Linked DNA regions of Saccharomyces cerevisiae S288C. The protein of the gene in region 1 binds, or shares a complex with, the protein of each later gene. Each region holds a gene or a part of one and is shown in the gene's direction. Other genes may lie near its edges. The genes, in order: SNF1, SIP2 and SNF4.

Region 1 (8,119 bases):
ACAATGTGGTCTGTATTTTGAATCAAAGTTCGTAGCGCCCAATCTAGTGCTACCCAAGTATGTTTCCTGCCGCTGATGTGGCACAATATCGTTCGAGGAGTGTTCGGGAACCCAACCTTTTCGCTCAAAACACGCTCTTTCCGCTTTTGAGACTTAGTCAAAGGCGTAAAGCCGTCTTCTATGGGAGGATTGAATTTTATTGTGGGAGTAGCGCCCTCAGACGACTTTTTTTTGTTTGGAGGAAACAGTATTGTTGGGTAATTGAAGAAATCGCGCTTTTGTTCTAATCGATGATCTATCTGATTTTTCTTCTTGATCCATAGTTGTCTCCAATTGGCATACGCCCTACTAATCACAAGAGCGTCATTGATATCGGTGGGTGTAGTAGGATAGTCTTCCCTTACAATTTTACCATTTTCAGAAATCTTAAACATCTTACCTATTTTGATGTTTCTTTTAGAGGCAGGAGGTGGAGAAGAATACCTGCCGGGACTAGCACTGCCCTCTCGCCTACTCGAATAGCTATTCCCGGAGAAGTAGTCGGCATTGTTGTCCGAGGTAAAGCCACTTTCGTCGTCATAATATTCCTCCATTGTATAATCTGCAGAGATCTGCACGCCAGGAAATTCTCTTTTCTCTTCATCTAAGGGCGAAGATACCCTTGATCTGGGAACTGTGTTGAAAGATACGCATGGTAGGTACTTTTCGTTGCTGCCTTTCCCCTTCTTTTTGACGGAACTGCTCGAGTCCAATATCGAGGCTAGACTGCGCCTGTCATCATTGTTGGACTTGTCCTCGTCCTGCTTAGCGAGTATGTCCACCGTATCCTCCAGCTGGTCCTGCCTGACATACAGCTTAACATATTTATAAGAATTTCTCAACGCCTCATCTTGATCTCGTACCACCATTTCCCCCTATGTTTTAGTATCTTCTGTTCCTTGTACTTTAAAGATTCCTTCCCTTAAAAATAGAAGAAAGCTTCTATTTGTTGATATTGCTTTCGAATAGTGAGTGGACTCAAGAGAAGAAAAAAACCTTTACAAAAATTATATGCAAAATATGTTGGAAAAGACAAAAGGGTTTTAAGTTGTGTTTACTAAAAAGTATATAGATAATTCTAGAGGTTATTGAGACATGCAGAATGCGTGTGCCACACCACCGCAGGTGGGTCATTCGGAAATTGTTCCTGTTGCTGCAGCGTCTGCTGCACTTTTCGCTAGAACTTTTCCAGTCGGATAGGGAGACAAAATGAAAAAAGGCCTCGGACTAATTAACTGACCCTTCGCCAAGAGTGCGAGCCTTAGTATCTAGACGTCTCGCAGGACCGTAACCTTCGAGGAGACCTAGAAGAAGCCACTCGGGCACGAACTCGCCAGGAACACGGTAGTACTTGAGCCTAGGGACGACGAAAATGAGCGTCTCGAGGGCGTGAGTCAGGAACTCGGCAACAATGATGAGTCGCAGCACAAGATCACTATCCAGCCACGCCTCTAAGGTGGAGCCCACAGGATTAGGGACCAGGAAAAAGATAGCGTGCAGTGCAGGACGATAGAGGTAGCACAATGGCGGTAGCGCCACGCCTACCAGGATCAACAAGTCTACTAGAGTGCAGGGGTACTCAACAGTGTCGATCTGGATGAGCGACAGCTTCCTCTTCTCCGCAGCGATGCGGAACATCTTGTTGAAGATTTGCTTGATTCCGGTAGCAGTGCGGGTATCGTTGCCCGTGTCATTGTCAATGAAGTAGATAATCTTCTCGATGTTCTGACCCGTTTCTGTGTGAAGGAACTTGAGCGTAAACGTGGACGTCTGCGTGTCGATCTCTGTCAGTCTGACATGCTTGACGGCCTTGGTAATGGGAACGTGGCCAAAAACGGCGAGACAATCCTCCAGCCCCAACTTGTGCGTATCGTTGATGCTTACAATTAACGAATCCCACATACTTGTGTATACCCGTATACTTGCTTGAGTTGATAGAACGCACGCTCTCGCCGATATAAGCCTCCACTCTTTATATATACCATATCCAAATAGGTGTGCACTTTGTGGCAAGGAGTAATTATAAACGAACAGAATATCCCGACCACATGGCAAGACCAAGAAAGTTCAAGACTGCGCAAGAAACGGCAGAACAGAAGCTGCTCACTAACTTCAACCTTGTAACTGAATTCGTAGGGTTAAAACTCCACCACGTTTGTAGCGGAGCAATGTCGCCTTTAAGAAGTCGCTAGCTATCTCTTTCGCCTCCGTATAGCAATCATTGTCTAATGCAATCCGCCATCGTTATGTCCGCGGCTTTTGTCTGGAGGGCAAATCACGATAGGAAGAGGCATCTTCTGTAGTAAAGGCGTCTGTAGTAAAACCTTTTCTTGGAAGCCATAACAAATCATGGCCACCAATGCCTGGCAAAAAAGGGTGGCATTGAAGGGAAATTTCAAAGATTTTTTTAATAGAGGCCCTAGGAAAAAACATGTCCGTACGTTTAGATACGGTTATAAACTGTACAATCATTTGCTATCAAATGCTGAACCTTCCCCAAGGGACTAAAAGCTGGAAATGGCAGTGTGCTACTATTTCTTTTAGTCGTATATTTAACTCTCGATCTTGCAGGCTATGATGTCCCATATGATGTCCCACATGACGCAAGTAACTTCAAAAAAAGAGGAATTGCGTGGCGGCGTGGATGCAAAAGGATGGGCGTGATGATGGGACTCGAGACCTGGTTTTACTCAATGTTAGTCATATGTATATAGTCCTTATAGGCCCATATTAGAAAGTACATGTCATAGTTACCCTCTGCAGTTTTTCTCGTAGCGGAAGGGGATGGAAATTTTTAACGTAAAAGAAAGTTGGTAAGAGTATGGCACATCAACAGGTAGCGTTATAGGGGCCAAGACATAGCTTTGGGCTTAGTACTGTAGGCTTGTTACCAGAACTTTCATTTATCGAAATATTCTTTTTTCACATTTCCTCTTACTGCGCATTCGTGTCCAAACAGTCATTCAGGAAGTATAACGATAAACAATAGATTGAAGCCTGAAAAAAAAAAAAAAAGCACGACAATAGAAATTGTTTCAGTGTCATTGGCTTTTGATAATATATAGAGGCTGTTTCAATAATCATAGCGAAAGAAATAGAAGTTTTTTTTTGTAACAAGTTTTGCTACACTCCCTTAATAAAGTCAACATGAGCAGTAACAACAACACAAACACAGCACCTGCCAATGCAAATTCTAGCCACCACCACCACCATCACCACCATCACCACCACCATCACGGTCATGGCGGAAGCAACTCGACGCTAAACAATCCCAAGTCGTCCTTAGCGGATGGTGCACATATCGGGAACTACCAAATCGTCAAAACGCTGGGAGAGGGGTCCTTTGGTAAAGTTAAATTGGCATATCATACCACTACGGGCCAAAAAGTTGCTCTAAAAATCATTAATAAGAAGGTTTTGGCAAAGAGTGATATGCAGGGCAGAATTGAAAGAGAAATATCTTATCTGAGACTCTTAAGACACCCCCACATCATCAAACTGTATGATGTTATCAAATCCAAAGATGAAATCATTATGGTTATAGAGTACGCCGGGAACGAATTGTTTGACTATATTGTTCAGAGAGACAAAATGAGCGAGCAAGAGGCAAGAAGATTTTTCCAGCAGATCATCAGTGCCGTCGAGTACTGCCATAGGCACAAAATTGTCCATAGAGATCTGAAGCCTGAAAACTTACTACTAGATGAGCATCTGAATGTAAAGATTGCCGATTTTGGTTTGTCAAACATCATGACTGATGGTAATTTCTTAAAGACTTCTTGTGGTTCTCCCAATTATGCGGCTCCTGAAGTTATCAGCGGTAAGCTGTACGCAGGCCCAGAAGTGGACGTGTGGTCATGTGGGGTTATCCTTTATGTTATGCTTTGTCGTCGTCTACCGTTTGACGATGAAAGCATCCCAGTGCTTTTCAAGAATATCAGCAACGGTGTTTACACCTTGCCTAAATTTTTATCTCCTGGAGCTGCTGGGCTAATCAAAAGAATGTTAATCGTTAATCCATTGAACAGAATAAGCATTCATGAAATTATGCAAGACGATTGGTTCAAAGTTGACCTGCCAGAATATCTACTTCCACCAGATTTGAAACCACACCCAGAAGAAGAGAATGAAAATAATGACTCAAAAAAGGATGGCAGCAGCCCAGATAACGATGAAATTGATGACAACCTTGTCAATATTTTATCATCGACCATGGGTTACGAAAAAGACGAGATTTATGAGTCCTTAGAATCATCAGAAGACACTCCTGCATTCAACGAAATTAGGGACGCGTACATGTTGATTAAGGAGAATAAATCTTTGATCAAGGATATGAAGGCAAACAAAAGCGTCAGTGATGAACTGGATACCTTTCTGTCCCAGTCACCTCCAACTTTTCAACAACAAAGCAAATCCCATCAAAAGAGTCAAGTAGATCATGAAACTGCCAAGCAACACGCAAGAAGGATGGCAAGTGCTATCACTCAACAAAGGACATATCACCAATCACCCTTCATGGATCAGTATAAAGAAGAAGACTCTACAGTTTCCATTTTGCCTACATCTTTACCTCAGATCCACAGAGCTAATATGTTAGCACAAGGTTCGCCAGCTGCCTCTAAAATATCTCCTCTTGTAACGAAAAAATCTAAAACGAGATGGCATTTTGGTATACGATCTCGCTCATATCCATTAGACGTTATGGGTGAAATTTATATTGCCTTGAAGAATTTGGGTGCCGAATGGGCCAAGCCATCTGAAGAGGATTTATGGACTATCAAATTAAGGTGGAAATATGATATTGGAAACAAGACAAACACTAATGAAAAAATACCTGATTTAATGAAAATGGTAATTCAATTATTTCAAATTGAAACCAATAATTATTTGGTGGATTTCAAATTTGACGGCTGGGAAAGTAGTTATGGAGATGATACTACTGTTTCTAATATTTCTGAAGATGAAATGAGTACTTTTTCAGCCTACCCATTTTTACATTTAACAACAAAACTAATTATGGAATTAGCCGTTAACAGTCAAAGCAATTGATGGTGGAACGTAAAAGAATGATATGGAAGTTCCCTTTTTTTTATGTATCGTAACGTATTTGCAACATCTTTATAATATCCCTTTGTATAAAGTAAACAATCTTGATTAAATAAACCTGAACATAATTTATTGATGTGAATGTTCTTTTATTGGCATTATTTCTTCGGATGAAAAGCAAATTTCACGCTCTATGAGAAAAATTGAAAACGCTATTCTATGTGAAAATAGAGATGAGTACTACTAGTGGCTACAATAAAAATACTGAACCTTTGACAATCGTACAACAAAAGGATCCCAAAAATGAATAAAGACCAGGCAGAAAAATATCAAGAACGGAGTCTGCGACAAAAATACAACCTACTACATGTACTGCCAACACTGAATTCCAGAGCGTTATCGGGACTATACTATAAAAATTTTCATAATTCTGTGAAGCGATATCAAATCATGCTGCCAGAACAACTGAAAAGTGGGAAATTTTGCTCCCATTGCGGGTGTGTTTACGTTCCTAATTTTAACGCAAGTCTTCAGTTAACGACTAATACCGAGCAAGGTGACTCCGACGAACTTGGCGGCGAGAGTATGGAAGGACCAAAAAAATGTATCCAGGTTAATTGCTTGAATTGTGAAAAGTCTAAATTGTTTGAGTGGAAATCTGAGTTCGTTGTTCCAACATTTGGACAAGATGTTAGTCCGATGATCAATAGTACCAGCAGCGGGAAGGTTTCGTACGCGGTAAAGAAGCCCCAAAAGAGTAAAACTAGTACTGGTAAGGAGAGATCCAAGAAGAGAAAGTTGAACTCACTTACAAACCTTTTATCGAAAAGAAATCAAGAGAAAAAAATGGAAAAGAAGAAAAGTTCGTCACTGTCATTAGAAAGTTTTATGAAAAGTTGACTGTATCATCAGTGAACATATAGTATAACAAATCAAGTTTATATAGTTGAATTGAGAGTGTCTGTTAGCTCTTCGATTGACGGATAAGATGCATCCGCGTCGATATTGTTGAGATTAGGAATAGTACCGTTTATACTTTCCTCATCAGCGCGGTCATCATCACTACTGTGAGTTAGACCGCCACTCATTGAACCCTTCGTCACGCCATGTACGCCTTGCCTATATGTTTCTTCCCTCAATGGATTAACTACTTCCTCCTCACCAAGGTTTGAAGAAATACCAGAATCCAGTTTTTTCCGCACGCAACTGTTGGTCCACATTCGCCTTCTATATGAGCCCCTTTGTCCATCAAGATTGAGGTCATAGACCCATTTTGTTTCTGAATCTATCTCGACATACTGAATAAATTCGTCCTCTACCCATTCTTTTGGATCCAAATCAAGCACCCAATGAGAATTGGCTTCCCATTCCCAATCCTTAGGTGGCTCAATTTCTTCTAATGACTTCACTGAATTTTCCTCAATACGCCTCTGGTATATTCTCAAACTAGAGAAAAGAGAATAATCGTCATCAGAGAATCCAACTGGGCGCCATTCTTTGTATTCAGGAAGATACTTTTGGATCTCAAAGATCATAACAAGTCGGTGCTCCCTAGCCTCAATGAGTTTCAAATGCTGCAAAATCTTAGATTCCAGATTAGTACTTATAGTCAAAGTTTTTAATCTTGTCTCCTCCGAATTCAATTTAGTCAACAAATATTCACGATTGGACGGATGCGAGGCAATAAAAAAACCCCAACCTAGCAGTATCAGTACGGGTCTCATTGGAATGAGCTTGATAAATTTATCCATGTACAGAAAATTTAATGTTGCTATTATTAACAATACAATAAAATAAAACGACGAAATAGCCTCGTTGGTGAAGAATGCAAACTTTTGTAATATGAGTAAAGTAAAATCGTAGAATTTAACATATAGCAGCATATGGTTTTGTAAATCCGTGAGGTTTAAGACAAATTCTTGGCTCAGTTCAGGGACTGGTTTAGGAACCTCAGGTCTTCGCAAAGGTGGGCCTTGTGCTGGTGTTTGATTATTATCTAGATAGCTTGTAGGGTTTGGCTTATGAATGTAAAGGTATTGCGGGACCATTACGCAGAATAACAAATAGAATATAGGGAGCGAAGAAAGCATTTGAAAAGGTTTCAATATAATGAGCGTGTATAAGAACATGATAGATACTGTATACGCTGGGTTAGTCCAGTTTAATATCTTTATTAATTCATCCATAATCATGAATGGTACCCCTAGTCTCGAGTTCATCTGTATAAAATTCCTACTCGTGATCTGCACAGACAGCTTAGGCCTTTCTTTACCAGCAACCATACGATGGTGAATTGTATCAACAGCCGTTTTGGAAGATGGTGGTAATGCCATTTTGATTATCTTCTCTACCAGGGTATCTGCCATCATCTTTTGGATGTTTGATGTCGAGGGAAAACCGCCACCACTAGTTGGCTGTCCACTGGAAGATGGCAGACTACCACGTGTAGGATCACTAGTTCTAGAACCACTAGATATGCTCTCTTTCTTTGCCTGACTTTTTCCATCTATGCCATTTTGCACTTTCTTCCCCTTGAGAGTTGATCTAGTTGGAGTACCAGCATTATAGGTGTCATTCCAGAAAAAATTTGTCACCGAGTCCATCTAGACGTATATACAGTAGGAGACTGAAATTTTGCTACGTATACAGGTGAGTATATTCATGCGGCCTGATCAGTAATTAAAAATACACACTATTCCTCGTTGTTATTTCTTAAAATTAGTTCAAGAAGAAGGGGTAACCCCTAAGCTTCTTAAGTTCACCACAAAAGTATTACTGGATAGTGAAACAACAACCACCCATAACATTAGTTTCCTAAACACTACGGCGGTATTCACCTAGACGCCATCCTAGAAGGCTACAAAGTGATGCACGTATGATGATATCGGACATTAGAGCGTATACATACAACAGGTACACATAAAATTGTGATATGTCACAGCTTCATCACCCGGCGGACACGTCTATTAAATTATCAATAATTACATAATGTGCAGATCAAATAAACAATAAACATACAGCCATTTAAATTTTG
Region 2 (7,457 bases), on another chromosome or scaffold:
ACGTAGCAAGATTGGAAAAATCGACTGCGATTATCACACAAAGTAGCGGCTCTCCCATCAAGAGATCAAAACCATTTAAATATTCTTACCAAAAGGAAATTGTCCTGTATGCGCACTACATGAAGCTGGATTATTTTTCCACTGAGTGTACCTATGCCCCAGAAGCGTTTAGGGGCACTGCGAGAGAATACATGAAGAATCTGGAAGCAGTGAGGCCCAGTTGCATTATAGACATCATCCAAAGTGGCGAAAATTTGGCATTAAAGGCTAAAAAATCTAACGCTGGAAAGAGAGTCGTCAAATTTGTTGACGGCAATAGATGCGCTAGATGTGGATATCTGTCGTCAAATAACATTTGCAAGGCGTGCATGTTGCTGGAAGGACTGGAGAAAAGTAGAGCCCAAGTGGCAATCGAGAATGACACTTCTGCCGATGGTGCAGCCTTGAAGCTGAGAGCTCTTGAGAAACTCAGCTTTTGACATATATATAGCTCGCAGTAGAAGAATGCAGCGTAACATAATATAATATAATATAGTACGGCGCGCCCTCCATTAGAACGCGCAACACAATAAAGACAAATAAAAGAATCAGCTATAAAGCTGGCCATTGCATGGTTCGCGCTGGAAAGAGAGGAAAAGCGTGGTGATAAAGAGCGAACCAAGCATATTGTTTTCCAAGAATGAGCAACGAAGATTACGGATACGACTACGATTATTTATTTAAGATAGTTCTTATCGGCGACTCCGGTGTGGGTAAATCTAATCTGTTGTCGAGATTTACAACCGATGAATTCAACATTGAATCCAAATCCACGATTGGCGTGGAATTCGCTACAAGAACCATTGAAGTTGAAAACAAGAAGATAAAAGCACAGATTTGGGACACGGCAGGTCAAGAACGTTACAGGGCCATCACGTCTGCGTACTACCGTGGTGCTGTAGGTGCACTTATAGTGTATGATATAAGCAAATCAAGTTCATACGAAAATTGCAACCACTGGCTTACCGAACTGAGAGAGAACGCAGATGACAACGTGGCTGTTGGGTTGATAGGGAACAAATCAGATCTGGCTCATTTAAGAGCAGTACCAACCGATGAAGCGAAAAATTTCGCAATGGAAAACCAAATGTTATTTACTGAGACAAGTGCTTTAAATAGTGATAATGTAGATAAAGCATTTAGAGAACTGATCGTAGCCATCTTCCAAATGGTAAGCAAACATCAAGTAGACTTAAGCGGGTCGGGTACCAACAACATGGGCTCTAATGGCGCTCCAAAGGGTCCTACCATCAGCTTAACACCGGCACCAAAGGAAGACAAGAAGAAAAAATCCAGCAACTGTTGTTAAAAATTTTGTGCCCTACTAAGGTCGCATGGTTTCATGCATATTCTGTCTACATATAACCCCCGTTAATAATGCTTTTATAAATATAATCAATTACATATACCTTCCCAAGTTATTTATTACTAACCTTCGTTGCACGCAAGAAAAAATGTATTAACGTACATACATTTTCTAAATAGACCTTTCCTGACGCCTGCATTTTGCAATAGCCGAAGATAAGAATATGATTTTTTTTTTACGATTTAAATATTCTGTTGTTGTGCAGTCTAAAAACACACGTGTATGTTTTTTTCCGCACGCATGAGCAGAATTAGACGGTTTTATAAACGTTCGCTCTGTGTATTTCACGTACCTTCCCGGATACAAATTTCGTCATGGTTTATATTGGAAGTTTTTCCGAAATTGCGGGTTTTGAAGGTTTATCCGAGACGACGTGAGGGGTAGGCAGGAGAAGGAAGGCTGTTTACGTACGCAAGGATGGGGTACGACAATGATTCAATTTCTGTTGCTAAGTTTTTTGTTATTTTTTCATATTGGCCTACTCATCTTTGATATCATTATTTTTTCGAATCTACATTAGAGCGTGTTTCGGAAAACAAACTCGCTCGATACAGTAATTGCGTTTTATTTACGGAAATTACCGTTCTCGGTTCCAAGAAGGTTAGAAAAATCGGTTGTCGCTCTTTCTTTCCCCCACTTGTAAAAACAAAGAAAGTATAAAATAGTTTATGGCCCTTAAGGCAGGCCTTGTTGAATTTGAGCTATACCTACCCCAATGATAGTTCTGTGGTAGTTTGTTTGAATATGTAATATGAGAAGCACGATGGCAAACGATAATCTTCACTGAGCTGATTTACGAGCGACCATCATCTCCACGGTGCGAATTAATAAGCTGTGGCGATGTGCTGTAGTTGCCCTATCGCCCCTGCGGAGCTTGCGTCAACTAGCTCTCCCCTTTCCCCATTGAAGTTAGCGTATTACCATCAGTTAATGATTGATAGGCTCATACGAAGAAGAAAAAAAGCCGGGATAAGAAACCCCGCCTCCACTTTTTTGGCTCATCCGAAAATTTATCCGCGGAGACATCCACGGAGCACCCGCAAAACTGAAGTAATAACTCTAAATTATATGCCGCTGAGAAAAATCTCGTACGAGGATACGGTAAATAATCCGTGCGAGAAAGTTTTTCCGAAAATCATTCCCGGTCAAAAGCGTTTCTGGTATATAAGCGATTGGGAAACCCGTCTATAATACGTAGTAACTTACGATCTGCCTGTCAAATTGTGTGCTTGTCCTTGTACTATTACCATTGTGTAGCTTATCTTAACTCTCAATTAAGTTTTAACTCACGCTAAGACTATTGACCTCGAGAACAAACAAAATAAAAATAAAAAAAGAGAATGCCTAAAAAGCAAACGAATTTCCCAGTAGATAACGAAAACAGACCTTTTAGATGTGATACCTGTCACCGTGGTTTCCATCGGTTAGAACATAAAAAGAGACACTTGAGAACACACACTGGGGAAAAACCTCATCATTGCGCATTTCCTGGTTGTGGGAAAAGTTTCAGTAGAAGCGATGAACTGAAAAGGCACATGAGAACGCATACAGGGCAATCTCAAAGGAGATTGAAGAAAGCTAGCGTACAGAAACAGGAGTTTTTGACAGTAAGCGGAATTCCTACCATTGCATCGGGCGTGATGATACACCAACCAATACCGCAAGTCCTACCAGCAAATATGGCCATAAATGTTCAGGCAGTAAATGGAGGTAACATTATACACGCTCCCAATGCGGTGCACCCAATGGTGATACCAATCATGGCCCAACCAGCCCCCATTCATGCCTCCGCTGCATCTTTCCAGCCTGCAACTTCTCCTATGCCAATTTCTACATACACTCCAGTTCCATCGCAATCATTCACCTCTTTCCAGAGCTCTATTGGCTCCATACAGTCAAATAGTGATGTTTCATCTATCTTCTCGAACATGAATGTTCGCGTAAACACTCCACGCTCTGTGCCAAACTCTCCGAATGATGGATATTTACACCAGCAACATATCCCACAGCAGTATCAGCATCAAACTGCCAGCCCTTCTGTTGCCAAGCAGCAGAAAACTTTTGCACATTCTCTTGCATCTGCATTATCTACCTTACAAAAAAGAACGCCTGTAAGTGCCCCTTCCACCACTATAGAATCACCATCCTCACCAAGTGATTCCAGTCATACCTCTGCATCCAGCAGCGCTATCTCTTTGCCTTTCAGCAATGCTCCTTCTCAGCTCGCCGTGGCCAAAGAACTTGAGTCCGTCTATTTAGATTCCAATAGATACACCACCAAGACTAGGAGGGAAAGAGCAAAATTCGAAATTCCTGAAGAACAAGAAGAAGATACCAATAACAGCAGCAGTGGTAGTAATGAGGAGGAGCACGAGTCGCTAGATCATGAATCTAGCAAAAGCCGAAAGAAATTGTCAGGCGTAAAATTGCCGCCTGTACGTAACCTACTGAAACAAATTGATGTTTTCAACGGTCCCAAAAGAGTTTAACCTTTACGGCCCCTTTTTATCTCACCATTTTTCCTCTAACGAACTGTCATGAAACAACTTAGCATATAACGCGTACTTACATAGATAGATTAAATAGATAACCATGCATATCACTAACTAGCATCGTCATGAATAGCACGTTTACCTATACGAATTGCGGCCGGCATGGTCTTTTATATTGCTCCCTTGGACCGAGTAAAGATTTACCTTGCGTTTTCGGATCGTCAAAATCTTTTAGGGAAAGGATAAATACACCACAAGATTCCTGGGAAATGAAAAGTATCTGAAATAATTGTGCTTTTGGAAGGGTACTGAGAGCAGTGAAGTTTCTATGGGTACTACGACAAGTCATCCAGCCCAAAAAAAGCAAACAACAAAAAAGTGTCGTGCACCTATCATGAGTGACGTTAGAGAAAAACCCAGCAATGCTCAAGGCTGCGAACCGCAAGAAATGGATGCTGTGAGCAAGAAAGTTACTGAACTGAGCTTAAATAAATGTTCAGATTCCCAAGACGCGGGGCAGCCTTCAAGGGAGGGATCTATTACCAAAAAAAAATCGACGTTATTGCTGCGTGATGAGGACGAGCCCACTATGCCAAAGCTATCTGTTATGGAAACTGCTGTGGACACTGACTCTGGGTCTTCGTCTACTAGCGATGATGAAGAGGGAGATATTATTGCCCAGACGACAGAGCCCAAGCAAGATGCCAGTCCTGATGATGATCGCTCAGGCCATTCTTCGCCCAGAGAGGAGGGACAACAGCAAATACGTGCCAAAGAAGCTTCGGGAGGTCCAAGTGAAATCAAGAGCTCATTAATGGTTCCCGTGGAGATAAGGTGGCAGCAAGGTGGTTCAAAAGTTTACGTGACAGGCTCATTCACCAAATGGAGGAAAATGATCGGTTTGATACCTGATTCTGACAATAATGGCTCATTTCATGTGAAGCTAAGGCTGCTTCCAGGCACACATAGATTCAGATTTATAGTGGATAATGAGCTTAGAGTTAGTGATTTCCTGCCCACAGCAACTGATCAGATGGGAAACTTCGTCAATTACATAGAAGTCAGGCAACCAGAAAAAAACCCAACTAACGAAAAGATAAGGTCCAAGGAAGCAGATTCCATGCGACCTCCCACCAGCGATCGATCCTCAATTGCTCTACAAATTGGTAAGGATCCAGACGATTTTGGTGACGGATATACAAGGTTTCATGAAGATCTGTCACCCAGACCTCCGTTGGAATATACAACAGACATTCCCGCCGTGTTTACTGACCCGTCTGTCATGGAACGATACTATTATACCTTGGATCGTCAGCAAAGCAATACTGATACGTCATGGCTGACACCACCCCAATTACCTCCTCAGTTGGAGAATGTTATCTTGAATAAATACTATGCCACGCAAGACCAGTTCAACGAGAACAACTCAGGCGCTCTGCCCATTCCGAACCATGTGGTGCTTAACCACTTGGTTACTAGTAGCATTAAGCACAATACACTTTGTGTAGCCTCCATCGTTCGATATAAACAGAAATATGTCACCCAGATTCTTTATACGCCCATAGAGTCCTCGTAATCCGGGATTCCTACTTTTTAAAGGCGTATTGTATATATTTTTGGCAGCTATGGCACACTAATTTCTATTTCCAATTTAGTGTAAGCAGAGATATAGAAGCATATAACATAATGATTTACTAATGGGCTCAGTACTCTCAATGCTTATTGTTATCACAAACCACGATACTAATACCCGGAAGTCGCGTGATCTTTTTTTTTTTCGGAAAATGAGAATCGCCACTTTTCTAACGAAAGAATATTGAAATCTTAATATTGGTGAGAAGAGGAATAAAAGTAGCTAAGAGAGTCACGGGACTAAAAGGTAAAAAGTTCAGCTATTCCAACTTTACTCCTTTCTGATATTGCACCTTTCGTGAACTGGCTTCGTGTATTTAAGTGAATATGGAAGAGCTGAATATTGATTTTGACGTATTTAAGAAAAGGATTGAATTGTTGTATTCCAAGTACAATGAGTTTGAAGGTTCTCCAAATTCGCTGCTGTTTGTTTTAGGTTCGTCCAACGCTGAAAACCCGTACCAGAAGACGACCATATTGCATAATTGGTTGCTAAGTTACGAATTTCCCGCTACTTTGATTGCATTAGTTCCCGGAAAGGTTATTATAATTACTAGTTCTGCCAAGGCCAAGCATTTACAAAAGGCAATTGATCTATTTAAAGACCCTGAAAGCAAAATTACGCTGGAATTGTGGCAAAGAAACAATAAAGAACCAGAACTCAATAAAAAGTTATTTGATGACGTTATTGCCTTAATCAATAGCGCTGGTAAAACAGTGGGTATCCCTGAAAAGGACTCTTACCAAGGTAAATTTATGACTGAGTGGAACCCAGTATGGGAAGCGGCTGTGAAGGAGAACGAATTCAATGTCATTGATATTTCGCTGGGTCTTTCTAAAGTTTGGGAAGTGAAGGATGTTAACGAACAAGCCTTCCTGTCCGTTTCAAGTAAGGGGTCGGACAAATTTATGGACCTTTTATCCAATGAAATGGTTCGGGCAGTTGACGAGGAGTTGAAAATCACCAATGCCAAGTTATCAGACAAAATTGAAAATAAAATTGATGATGTGAAATTTTTGAAGCAATTGAGTCCCGATTTAAGCGCATTATGCCCACCAAACTACAAATTCAACTTTGATTTATTGGATTGGACCTATTCTCCAATCATTCAGTCCGGGAAAAAGTTTGATCTTAGGGTTTCTGCCCGTTCTACCAATGATCAGTTGTACGGCAACGGTTGTATTTTAGCTTCATGTGGTATTCGTTACAATAATTATTGTTCTAATATTACTAGGACCTTTTTGATCGATCCATCTGAAGAAATGGCCAACAACTACGATTTTCTATTAACTTTGCAAAAAGAAATTGTAACTAACATTCTGAAGCCCGGCCGTACACCAAAAGAAGTTTATGAATCAGTAATAGAATACATCGAAAAAACCAAACCTGAACTAGTGCCCAATTTCACCAAAAACATTGGTTCATTGATTGGTCTCGAATTTAGAGATTCTAACTTTATATTAAATGTTAAGAATGATTACCGTAAAATCCAACGCGGTGACTGCTTTAATATTTCGTTTGGTTTCAATAATCTGAAAGATTCTCAAAGTGCTAACAACTACGCTTTACAATTAGCTGATACGGTTCAAATTCCTCTCGATGAAACAGAGCCTCCACGCTTCTTAACAAATTACACCAAAGCCAAATCCCAGATATCATTTTATTTCAATAATGAAGAAGAAGACAATAATAAAAAGAAATCTTCACCTGCCACCAAAGTCCCTAGTAAACCAGACAGAAATTCCAAAATTTTAAGAACAAAGTTACGTGGCGAAGCCCGTGGTGGTGCCGAAGACGCTCAAAAGGAGCAAATTCGTAAAGAAAACCAAAAGAAGCTACACGAAAAATTGGAAAAGAATGGATTACTCAGATTTAGTGCTGCTGATGCCAATGGCCCAGATAGTGAACCTCGTCAATACTTCAAAAA
Region 3 (7,070 bases), on another chromosome or scaffold:
AACAAAATGTAGCTGAAGCGTGTGGGTTAGATATGAATAAAAGAATACTACAATACATGCCGGAACCACCAAAATGCTCTTCCTTGAGACAAAAAAGCTATATCATGAAGAAAAGAACACATTATAGTTATCAGCAGGAACAAAAAATTCCTGATTTAATTAAATTAAGGAAAATCAATACCAATCCGGAAAGAATTCTTGATGCACCTGGTTTCCAAGACGACTTTTATTTAAACTTGTTAAGTTGGTCCAAAAAAAATGTCTTAGCTATAGCACTAGACACTGCATTATATCTGTGGAATGCCACCACTGGGGATGTTTCCCTGTTAACGGATTTCGAAAACACCACAATATGCAGCGTTACGTGGTCTGATGATGATTGTCATATCTCTATCGGTAAAGAGGATGGGAACACCGAAATTTGGGACGTTGAGACCATGTCATTAATTAGAACTATGAGATCAGGCTTAGGTGTCCGTATCGGTTCATTGTCTTGGTTAGATACTTTGATAGCTACAGGCAGTCGTAGTGGAGAAATTCAAATCAATGATGTCAGGATCAAACAGCATATTGTATCTACATGGGCAGAGCACACAGGCGAAGTCTGCGGTTTGAGCTATAAAAGTGACGGATTGCAACTTGCATCTGGTGGTAATGATAACACTGTAATGATTTGGGATACCAGAACGTCCTTGCCTCAATTTTCCAAGAAGACGCATACTGCTGCTGTAAAAGCACTAAGCTGGTGTCCATATTCGCCAAATATTCTAGCCTCTGGAGGCGGACAAACAGATAAACACATCCATTTTTGGAACAGTATCACAGGTGCACGAGTTGGCTCAATCAATACCGGATCCCAGGTGAGCTCTTTACATTGGGGCCAAAGTCATACGTCAACCAATGGTGGTATGATGAATAAAGAGATTGTTGCCACAGGAGGTAATCCAGAGAATGCAATCTCTGTTTATAATTATGAAACAAAATTCAAAGTTGCAGAAGTAGTTCATGCTCATGAAGCAAGAATATGCTGTTCTCAATTGTCCCCTGACGGAACCACATTGGCCACAGTGGGAGGAGATGAAAACTTAAAATTTTATAAGATATTTGATCCAAGATGTACAGGAAGATCGAGAGAAGACGGATTGATGGATGGTATGCTAGGACTTATTGGCAAGGAAGGTTGTCGAACAAATGATAAGGAGAATCGTTCCAAAAATTCGAGTGAGATTCATACAAGGAGGCCCTCTAGTACCAGCCAATATTTGATCAGGTGATAAAATAAAAAAAATAAAAGTTCATGTCAAGGCATATAATGAAATTTCCATACACGCATACATAATGTATAAACATAAATGTATTCAAGAAGCTTAAGAAATAAAAGTAATGAACCTTGAGAATACATCAAGATATAACTCATCACATGTTAAAGAACCCACACACCACACGCGCGAGAACTGGGAGGGAGAGAAATTTAGCAAATAACAAAATTTAGGCCTTGGAAGAAACCATAGCAATGCAATAATCGTTATTAACATAATATCTACATTGAGAACTTCTTGGGCTAGTGGTTTTGCTGCAAACTGGAAAATTGTATCAATCTTTTAACGTTAGCTAAACATCTTCTGCTGTGTTAGCATTAGGAGGAAGCGAAAAGGAAAATACATAATGAAACCGACACAGGATTCACAAGAAAAGGTTTCTATTGAACAGCAGTTAGCTGTAGAATCGATAAGGAAGTTTTTGAACTCGAAAACATCTTATGACGTGTTGCCTGTTTCTTACCGTTTAATTGTCTTGGACACCTCGTTGTTAGTGAAGAAATCACTGAATGTTCTTTTGCAAAATAGCATTGTCTCTGCGCCATTATGGGACTCCAAGACTTCCAGGTTCGCTGGACTTCTAACTACTACAGATTTTATTAATGTCATCCAGTATTACTTCTCCAATCCAGATAAGTTCGAATTAGTAGACAAATTACAGTTAGATGGATTAAAAGATATAGAGCGTGCTCTCGGTGTTGATCAACTAGATACAGCTTCAATTCATCCTTCTAGACCCTTATTTGAGGCGTGTCTTAAGATGTTAGAATCAAGAAGTGGTAGAATACCACTGATCGATCAAGATGAAGAGACACATAGAGAAATTGTCGTTAGTGTTCTTACGCAATATAGAATTCTGAAGTTCGTTGCTTTAAATTGCAGGGAAACACATTTTCTAAAGATTCCAATTGGGGACTTGAACATTATTACGCAAGATAACATGAAAAGCTGTCAAATGACCACTCCGGTCATAGACGTCATTCAGATGCTTACCCAAGGTCGGGTTTCTTCCGTCCCTATTATTGACGAAAACGGCTACTTAATCAACGTATATGAAGCATACGATGTCCTAGGCTTGATAAAAGGAGGCATCTACAACGACCTGTCATTGAGCGTCGGAGAAGCCCTTATGAGGAGAAGTGATGATTTTGAGGGTGTTTATACATGCACTAAGAATGATAAATTATCTACTATTATGGATAACATCAGAAAAGCAAGGGTGCATAGATTCTTTGTAGTTGATGACGTCGGACGGTTGGTTGGTGTCTTGACGTTAAGCGATATTCTCAAATATATCCTTCTAGGTAGCAACTGAAACGAGCCGATGAGATTTTTGTGTACATACTATAAATAAATGCAACTAATAAAGTCATGATTAATCAGTCATGCATACTTCATCTGACCAATATATTTTCATCTTGCTTATTTTGGGTATAATTCGGCGGAAATTCGGTTATAAAGCGAAGTGAAAAATCGATTAGTAATGATACTGATGCGATCTCTGGGAGGGGGGAATGCTGCATATAAGGGTGAAGGAAGATAATGCAAAGCCTTTTGTAGTATTGTCTGTTGATACCAAAATAAATTAGTTCATCAAAAAGGTACAGGCAGCTAAAGAAAAGCTGTAAATTTAACGCCGTAGAAGGTATTTTTCGTGAGATCTATCTCAAGGCATCATTTTTTTTATTTTCGCACCAAGATAGGAAGAAAAAGAGTCACAGTATAGAGGACTAACCGTTAAAGATTCTAAATCGGTACTGTAAATACTTTGAAATGCCTCAATCTACTCCAAGTCAAGAAGTACAGCGTGTACCATGGGATAATAAACCTGCTTTGAAGCAGATAACACTCCGAGCAACCATAGCAGGTATCGCTATAGGGTCTCTGGTGCTAACATCAAATTTTCAATTTGGCCTGCAAACCGGTTGGGTTTCCATGATGTCCCTGCCATCGGCATTGTTAGCTTGTGCTTTCTTTAAAAATATCTGGCCATTAATATTTCCGAACGACAGGCCTTTCAGTGACGTTGAAAATGTATACGTACAAAGTATGGCAGTAGCTGTCGGAACAGGCCCATTAGCCTTTGGGTTTGTCGGCGTCATACCTGCCATCGAGAAGTTCCTTACTAACGACGAAAGTGGTGGATTAAGGGAACAAGGACAGTCCTTCACTTTTAGAGAATTGTTAATATGGTCCACAGCCCTAGCATTCTTCGGTATTTTTTTTGCAGTTCCTCTAAGAAAGCAAGTAATTGTTAGAGAGAAACTTCCCTTCCCCAGTGGTAGCGCCACGGCCACTTTAATTTCAGTGCTAAATGGAACTGAGATTTTACAAGAGGTTTCTAAGTCAGAGTTATTGGAAATGAGGCAGAGGAGATTGAATGAATGCCCTGAAGTGCTACAACCCAACAGAGATCCAGAGGAGGCGGATTATTTAATGAACTCTTCTCATAGCGAACTTGGTGATTATACGGCAACTAGCCAAGATGGAAGTTCTATCCTTTCTACTGGCTCTGAGAACTACAGAGCGAATATTATTATTTTATTGAAAACTTTTGTTGTTTCTTCGCTTTACACCATGGTGTCATATTTTGTACCGGTAATACGGTCTATTCCAGTCTTCGGAAAATACCTCTCGAACAATTATCTCTGGAATTTTCAGCCGTCGCCTGCGTATATAGGCCAAGGGATAATAATGGGTCTTCCAACAGTATCGTATATGCTTATCGGGTGCTTCTTAGGCTGGGGTGTGTTAGCACCATTGGCGAGATACAAAAGATGGGTACCACCAGATGCTGATGTCCACGACTGGGAGGAGGGAGTGCAAGGATGGATTCTTTGGTCGTCGCTTTCAATAATGGTTGCTGACAGTGTAGTCGCTTTTATTGTTGTGACAGTGAAGTCCATTGTGAAATTTATTCTTATAGATGACAAAGCTGCTTTACTGAACAACATAATCGATGATACATTTCAATCTATGTTACTGGAGGAGGAACGCGCCATTAATAGCAGCAGAAGAAATACATATGTTGATGGAAGGCAGGACACCGTAAGATTAGTGAGTAGAGATAACGAAATAGAAGTAGATTCGAAGCATTTGGTTCGCTATACCACCGTTATCAGTGGATGTCTAGTCTCCTCGATAATATGCATTGTTTCCATAATATATTTGTTTGGGATACAAGTAATTCCCCTATATGCTATTATCACTGCTTTGATACTTGCGTTGTTTCTATCTATTCTCGGTATTCGAGCACTTGGAGAGACCGATCTGAATCCTGTGAGCGGCATTGGTAAGATCTCTCAATTGATTTTTGCCTTTATCATACCAAGGGATAGACCTGGATCAGTGTTAATGAACGTGGTATCGGGAGGTATTGCAGAAGCCTCTGCCCAACAGGCGGGCGATTTAATGCAGGATTTGAAAACGGGGCACCTCCTCGGCGCCTCCCCAAGAGCTCAGTTCTGTGCCCAATTGATAGGGGCCTGTTGGTCAATTATTTTGTCTAGCTTCATGTATTTGTGCTACAATAAAGTTTATTCAATTCCGAGTGAGCAATTCAGGATACCGACAGCAGTAGTGTGGATAGATTGTGCAAGACTAGTAACTGGTAAAGGGCTCCCTGATAAGGCCTTGGAGTGCTCCATGATTCTCGGAGTCATATTTGCCGTTTTATCATTAATCAGAAACACTTATAGAGATTACGGATACGGGTGGATATTATATATTCCGTCTGGTGTAGCAGTCGGTGTTGGTATATTTAATTCTCCCAGTTTTACAATTGCAAGATTCATCGGCGGGTGGGCTTCGCATTTTTGGTTGAAGAATCATAGGGGTGACTTAAATGCGAAAACAAAAATGATTGTATTCAGTTCGGGGTTGGTCTTAGGTGAAGGTATCTTTAGCGTAATAAACATGCTCTTCATCTGCTTAAATGTCCCTCACTATTAGGTATATAATATTTTACTAATAAAGAATTTACAAAGTTTACAAATTTTAAATTATTTACTCATCACATAATTCGATGTCTTAGATTTCCCTGTATATATATTTCTAGGTGACAAAAATCCTAGGCAAAATGTTATATTATACGCGACCTTGAAATATCGGCTATCTTGGTGTACAACATGGTCCATTTAAGAAAAATAAAAAAAAGTGATGGGCACTGTTAAAACAGGCAGAAGCCTCATTCATAACTGCTGAAGGGTTAAGATCGTATAGGTAGGAACGATCTGACCTCTCATAATGGAAACATGGGAAGTCATAGCATCGGTAAAAGAAGCAACAAAAGGCCTTGACTTGAGCTTAGATCATCCACTTATTATTAAATCCGAGGACGTGCCCAGTAACATTCTCCAATTACTGCAACAGAAGAATCGACGTCAATTGAAACACATCTGCATGAAATCAAGAAAAGAGTATTTTCTACTAGAGGAATATGGGCCAGGATTTTGGGTTAAGTGGCCGTACAATTATTTCAATGGTTACAGCTTACCAGAAAGGCGTACGGAAGTTGTAACGACAGTTGAAAGAGAAAGAGCTAAGCGTGAAACGTTAAAAACATGGGACGAATTGAAATTTAAAGAGCTTCTTCATTTATGGTCAGAAGAACCCAAGGGCTCGTGTAAGCTTGAGAAGGACAAAGACCTTAAACTGGATATGAATCCCCCAGATATGAAAGGCGAATCAAAAATTAATGACTACTATTCAGACCCTAAAGAGTACATAGAAAGTAAGTATTATGATGCTCTTTTTTCCATACATACGCCTCTCGCATATTTCGTCAAGTCAAATTTAGTAAGGCTCAAAAATACCTGCCGAACCAAGTACGGAAGTGACAGTTACAAAATAGCCTATCAAGCCATGCTGCAAAAATTTCTTCTCTCAATTGTACAATTCAAAGATAGACATGATAACAGGCTTTTATTAGAGCCCTTTTCTAGTCCCATAGCAGATGAAAAAAGGAAGAACTGTCTCACAAAATTTGTTATCCAAGATGAAAACAAAAACAGCTCAACCATTGCTGATTTATGTGTTGTATTAAAATCCCGCGAAATAAAGCTACAAATATTATTGCTATTAGAGATAATAGGATTGAACGATTTAGATTGGAATTTTAGAGATTTTGAGAAAAAGTATAAATTAAAATTGAAGAAAAGATCACTTAATTTGACAAAAAAGGGATTAGTTCGTCGAAGATCGAAGAAAAAAACCAGCGAAAAAGACAAAGGAATCGAGAGAATAACAACATCTTTGGATTATTGTGAACAGTTAGACTTGTACTTAGATAGAGCATGCATCTTGGACATTCTACTATCAAGTGAAACGCCCAACCCAGATGCCATAGAAGCATCAAATGGAACAATACAAGAGCATAAAAAAAATATCCTAGACAAAAGCAAAGAAGCCTCATTGGTTGGGTTCATAAATTATGTTCTTATTCCATATTTCAACAAAAAGGTACCACACGCCGTTGAATTTATAATTCAAAAGCTCAAGGGACCAAGCATGAGACCAAAGAGAGCCCTGAAAAAGGTCAACGATAGCACAAATGTATCGTCACCTAATACTGTAGAAACGTATAACAGGTTATCCACGAGTCAACGTGCCTCTCGCTCTTCAATCATTAATTCCGTCCCATCTTCACCCGCATTGAGAAGGGTGGACGCTAATTTGTTCAGCAGAAAATCTATAGCTTCGCCCACCCCTGAACTTTTGAATTCTAGAACGAACTCTAACTTGAATGAATTT

The links.
Region 2: the proteins of SNF1 (region 1) and SIP2 are in contact, whole or in part, in a crystal structure (PDB 3T4N), measured with the Saccharomyces cerevisiae proteins. Residues at the interface, in NP_010765.3 of Saccharomyces cerevisiae: Lys502 (codon at 4,690), Thr503 (codon at 4,693), Arg504 (codon at 4,696), Trp505 (codon at 4,699), His506 (codon at 4,702), Phe507 (codon at 4,705), Gly508 (codon at 4,708), Ile509 (codon at 4,711), Pro515 (codon at 4,729), Leu516 (codon at 4,732), Met519 (codon at 4,741), Gly520 (codon at 4,744), Tyr523 (codon at 4,753), Ile524 (codon at 4,756), Lys527 (codon at 4,765), Ala531 (codon at 4,777), Glu532 (codon at 4,780), Trp533 (codon at 4,783), Ala534 (codon at 4,786), Lys535 (codon at 4,789), Pro536 (codon at 4,792), Glu538 (codon at 4,798), Glu539 (codon at 4,801), Leu541 (codon at 4,807), Trp542 (codon at 4,810), Lys545 (codon at 4,819), Leu546 (codon at 4,822), Arg547 (codon at 4,825), Gln571 (codon at 4,897), Leu572 (codon at 4,900); in NP_011307.1 of Saccharomyces cerevisiae: Glu304 (codon at 5,135), Tyr305 (codon at 5,138), Thr306 (codon at 5,141), Thr307 (codon at 5,144), Asp308 (codon at 5,147), Ile309 (codon at 5,150), Pro310 (codon at 5,153), Val312 (codon at 5,159), Phe313 (codon at 5,162), Met319 (codon at 5,180), Tyr322 (codon at 5,189), Trp337 (codon at 5,234), Leu338 (codon at 5,237), Thr339 (codon at 5,240), Pro340 (codon at 5,243), Pro341 (codon at 5,246), Gln342 (codon at 5,249), Leu343 (codon at 5,252), Pro344 (codon at 5,255), Gln346 (codon at 5,261), Leu347 (codon at 5,264), Asn349 (codon at 5,270), Leu352 (codon at 5,279), Asn353 (codon at 5,282), Tyr356 (codon at 5,291), Asp360 (codon at 5,303), Val377 (codon at 5,354), Leu378 (codon at 5,357), Asn379 (codon at 5,360), His380 (codon at 5,363).
Region 3: the proteins of SNF1 (region 1) and SNF4 are in contact, whole or in part, in a crystal structure (PDB 3T4N), measured with the Saccharomyces cerevisiae proteins. Residues at the interface, in NP_010765.3 of Saccharomyces cerevisiae: Ser465 (codon at 4,579), Thr466 (codon at 4,582), Val467 (codon at 4,585), Ser468 (codon at 4,588), Ile469 (codon at 4,591), Leu470 (codon at 4,594), Thr472 (codon at 4,600), Ser473 (codon at 4,603), Leu474 (codon at 4,606), Pro475 (codon at 4,609), Gln476 (codon at 4,612), His478 (codon at 4,618), Arg479 (codon at 4,621), Met482 (codon at 4,630), Ser487 (codon at 4,645), Ala489 (codon at 4,651), Ala490 (codon at 4,654), Ile493 (codon at 4,663), Ser494 (codon at 4,666), Pro495 (codon at 4,669), Leu496 (codon at 4,672), Thr498 (codon at 4,678), Lys499 (codon at 4,681), Lys500 (codon at 4,684), Ser501 (codon at 4,687), Tyr550 (codon at 4,834), Pro563 (codon at 4,873), Gly588 (codon at 4,948), Trp589 (codon at 4,951), Ser608 (codon at 5,008); in NP_011400.1 of Saccharomyces cerevisiae: Leu41 (codon at 1,786), Val43 (codon at 1,792), Leu58 (codon at 1,837), Gln59 (codon at 1,840), Ser61 (codon at 1,846), Trp68 (codon at 1,867), Ser70 (codon at 1,873), Ser73 (codon at 1,882), Phe75 (codon at 1,888), Asp151 (codon at 2,116), Gln152 (codon at 2,119), Asp153 (codon at 2,122), Glu154 (codon at 2,125), Glu155 (codon at 2,128), Thr156 (codon at 2,131), Ile160 (codon at 2,143), Met204 (codon at 2,275), Leu232 (codon at 2,359), Ile233 (codon at 2,362), Asn234 (codon at 2,365), Gly243 (codon at 2,392), Lys246 (codon at 2,401), Leu255 (codon at 2,428), Gly258 (codon at 2,437), Glu259 (codon at 2,440), Leu261 (codon at 2,446), Met262 (codon at 2,449), Arg263 (codon at 2,452), Arg264 (codon at 2,455), Ser265 (codon at 2,458).

What each region holds. Positions count from the first base shown.
Region 1 is NC_001136.10:1,409,187-1,417,305, forward strand, and holds SNF1 (AMP-activated serine/threonine-protein kinase catalytic subunit SNF1), read left to right. Parts: upstream 1-3,186; coding exon 3,187-5,088; downstream 5,089-8,119. Other genes in the region: JIP4 (Jip4p), read right to left, coding at 1-908; YDR476C (uncharacterized protein), read right to left, coding at 1,267-1,941; SNM1 (Snm1p), read left to right, coding at 5,389-5,985; PEX29 (Pex29p), read right to left, coding at 6,024-7,688. UniProt on the Saccharomyces cerevisiae protein: Serine/threonine protein kinase essential for release from glucose repression.
Region 2 is NC_001139.9:93,113-100,569, forward strand, and holds SIP2 (Sip2p), read left to right. Parts: upstream 1-4,225; coding exon 4,226-5,473; downstream 5,474-7,457. Other genes in the region: NCS6 (Ncs6p), read left to right, coding at 1-479; Rab family GTPase YPT32, read left to right, coding at 680-1,348; MIG2 (Mig2p), read left to right, coding at 2,746-3,894; chromatin-remodeling protein SPT16, read left to right, coding at 5,857-7,457. UniProt on the Saccharomyces cerevisiae protein: Beta subunit of the SNF1 kinase complex, which is required for transcriptional, metabolic, and developmental adaptations in response to glucose limitation.
Region 3 is NC_001139.9:290,368-297,437, forward strand, and holds SNF4 (AMP-activated serine/threonine-protein kinase regulatory subunit SNF4), read left to right. Parts: upstream 1-1,665; coding exon 1,666-2,634; downstream 2,635-7,070. Other genes in the region: ubiquitin-protein transferase activating protein CDC20, read left to right, coding at 1-1,274; YGL114W (uncharacterized protein), read left to right, coding at 3,093-5,270; SLD3 (Sld3p), read left to right, coding at 5,565-7,070. UniProt on the Saccharomyces cerevisiae protein: Adenine nucleotides-binding subunit gamma of AMP-activated protein kinase (AMPK), an energy sensor protein kinase that plays a key role in regulating cellular energy metabolism.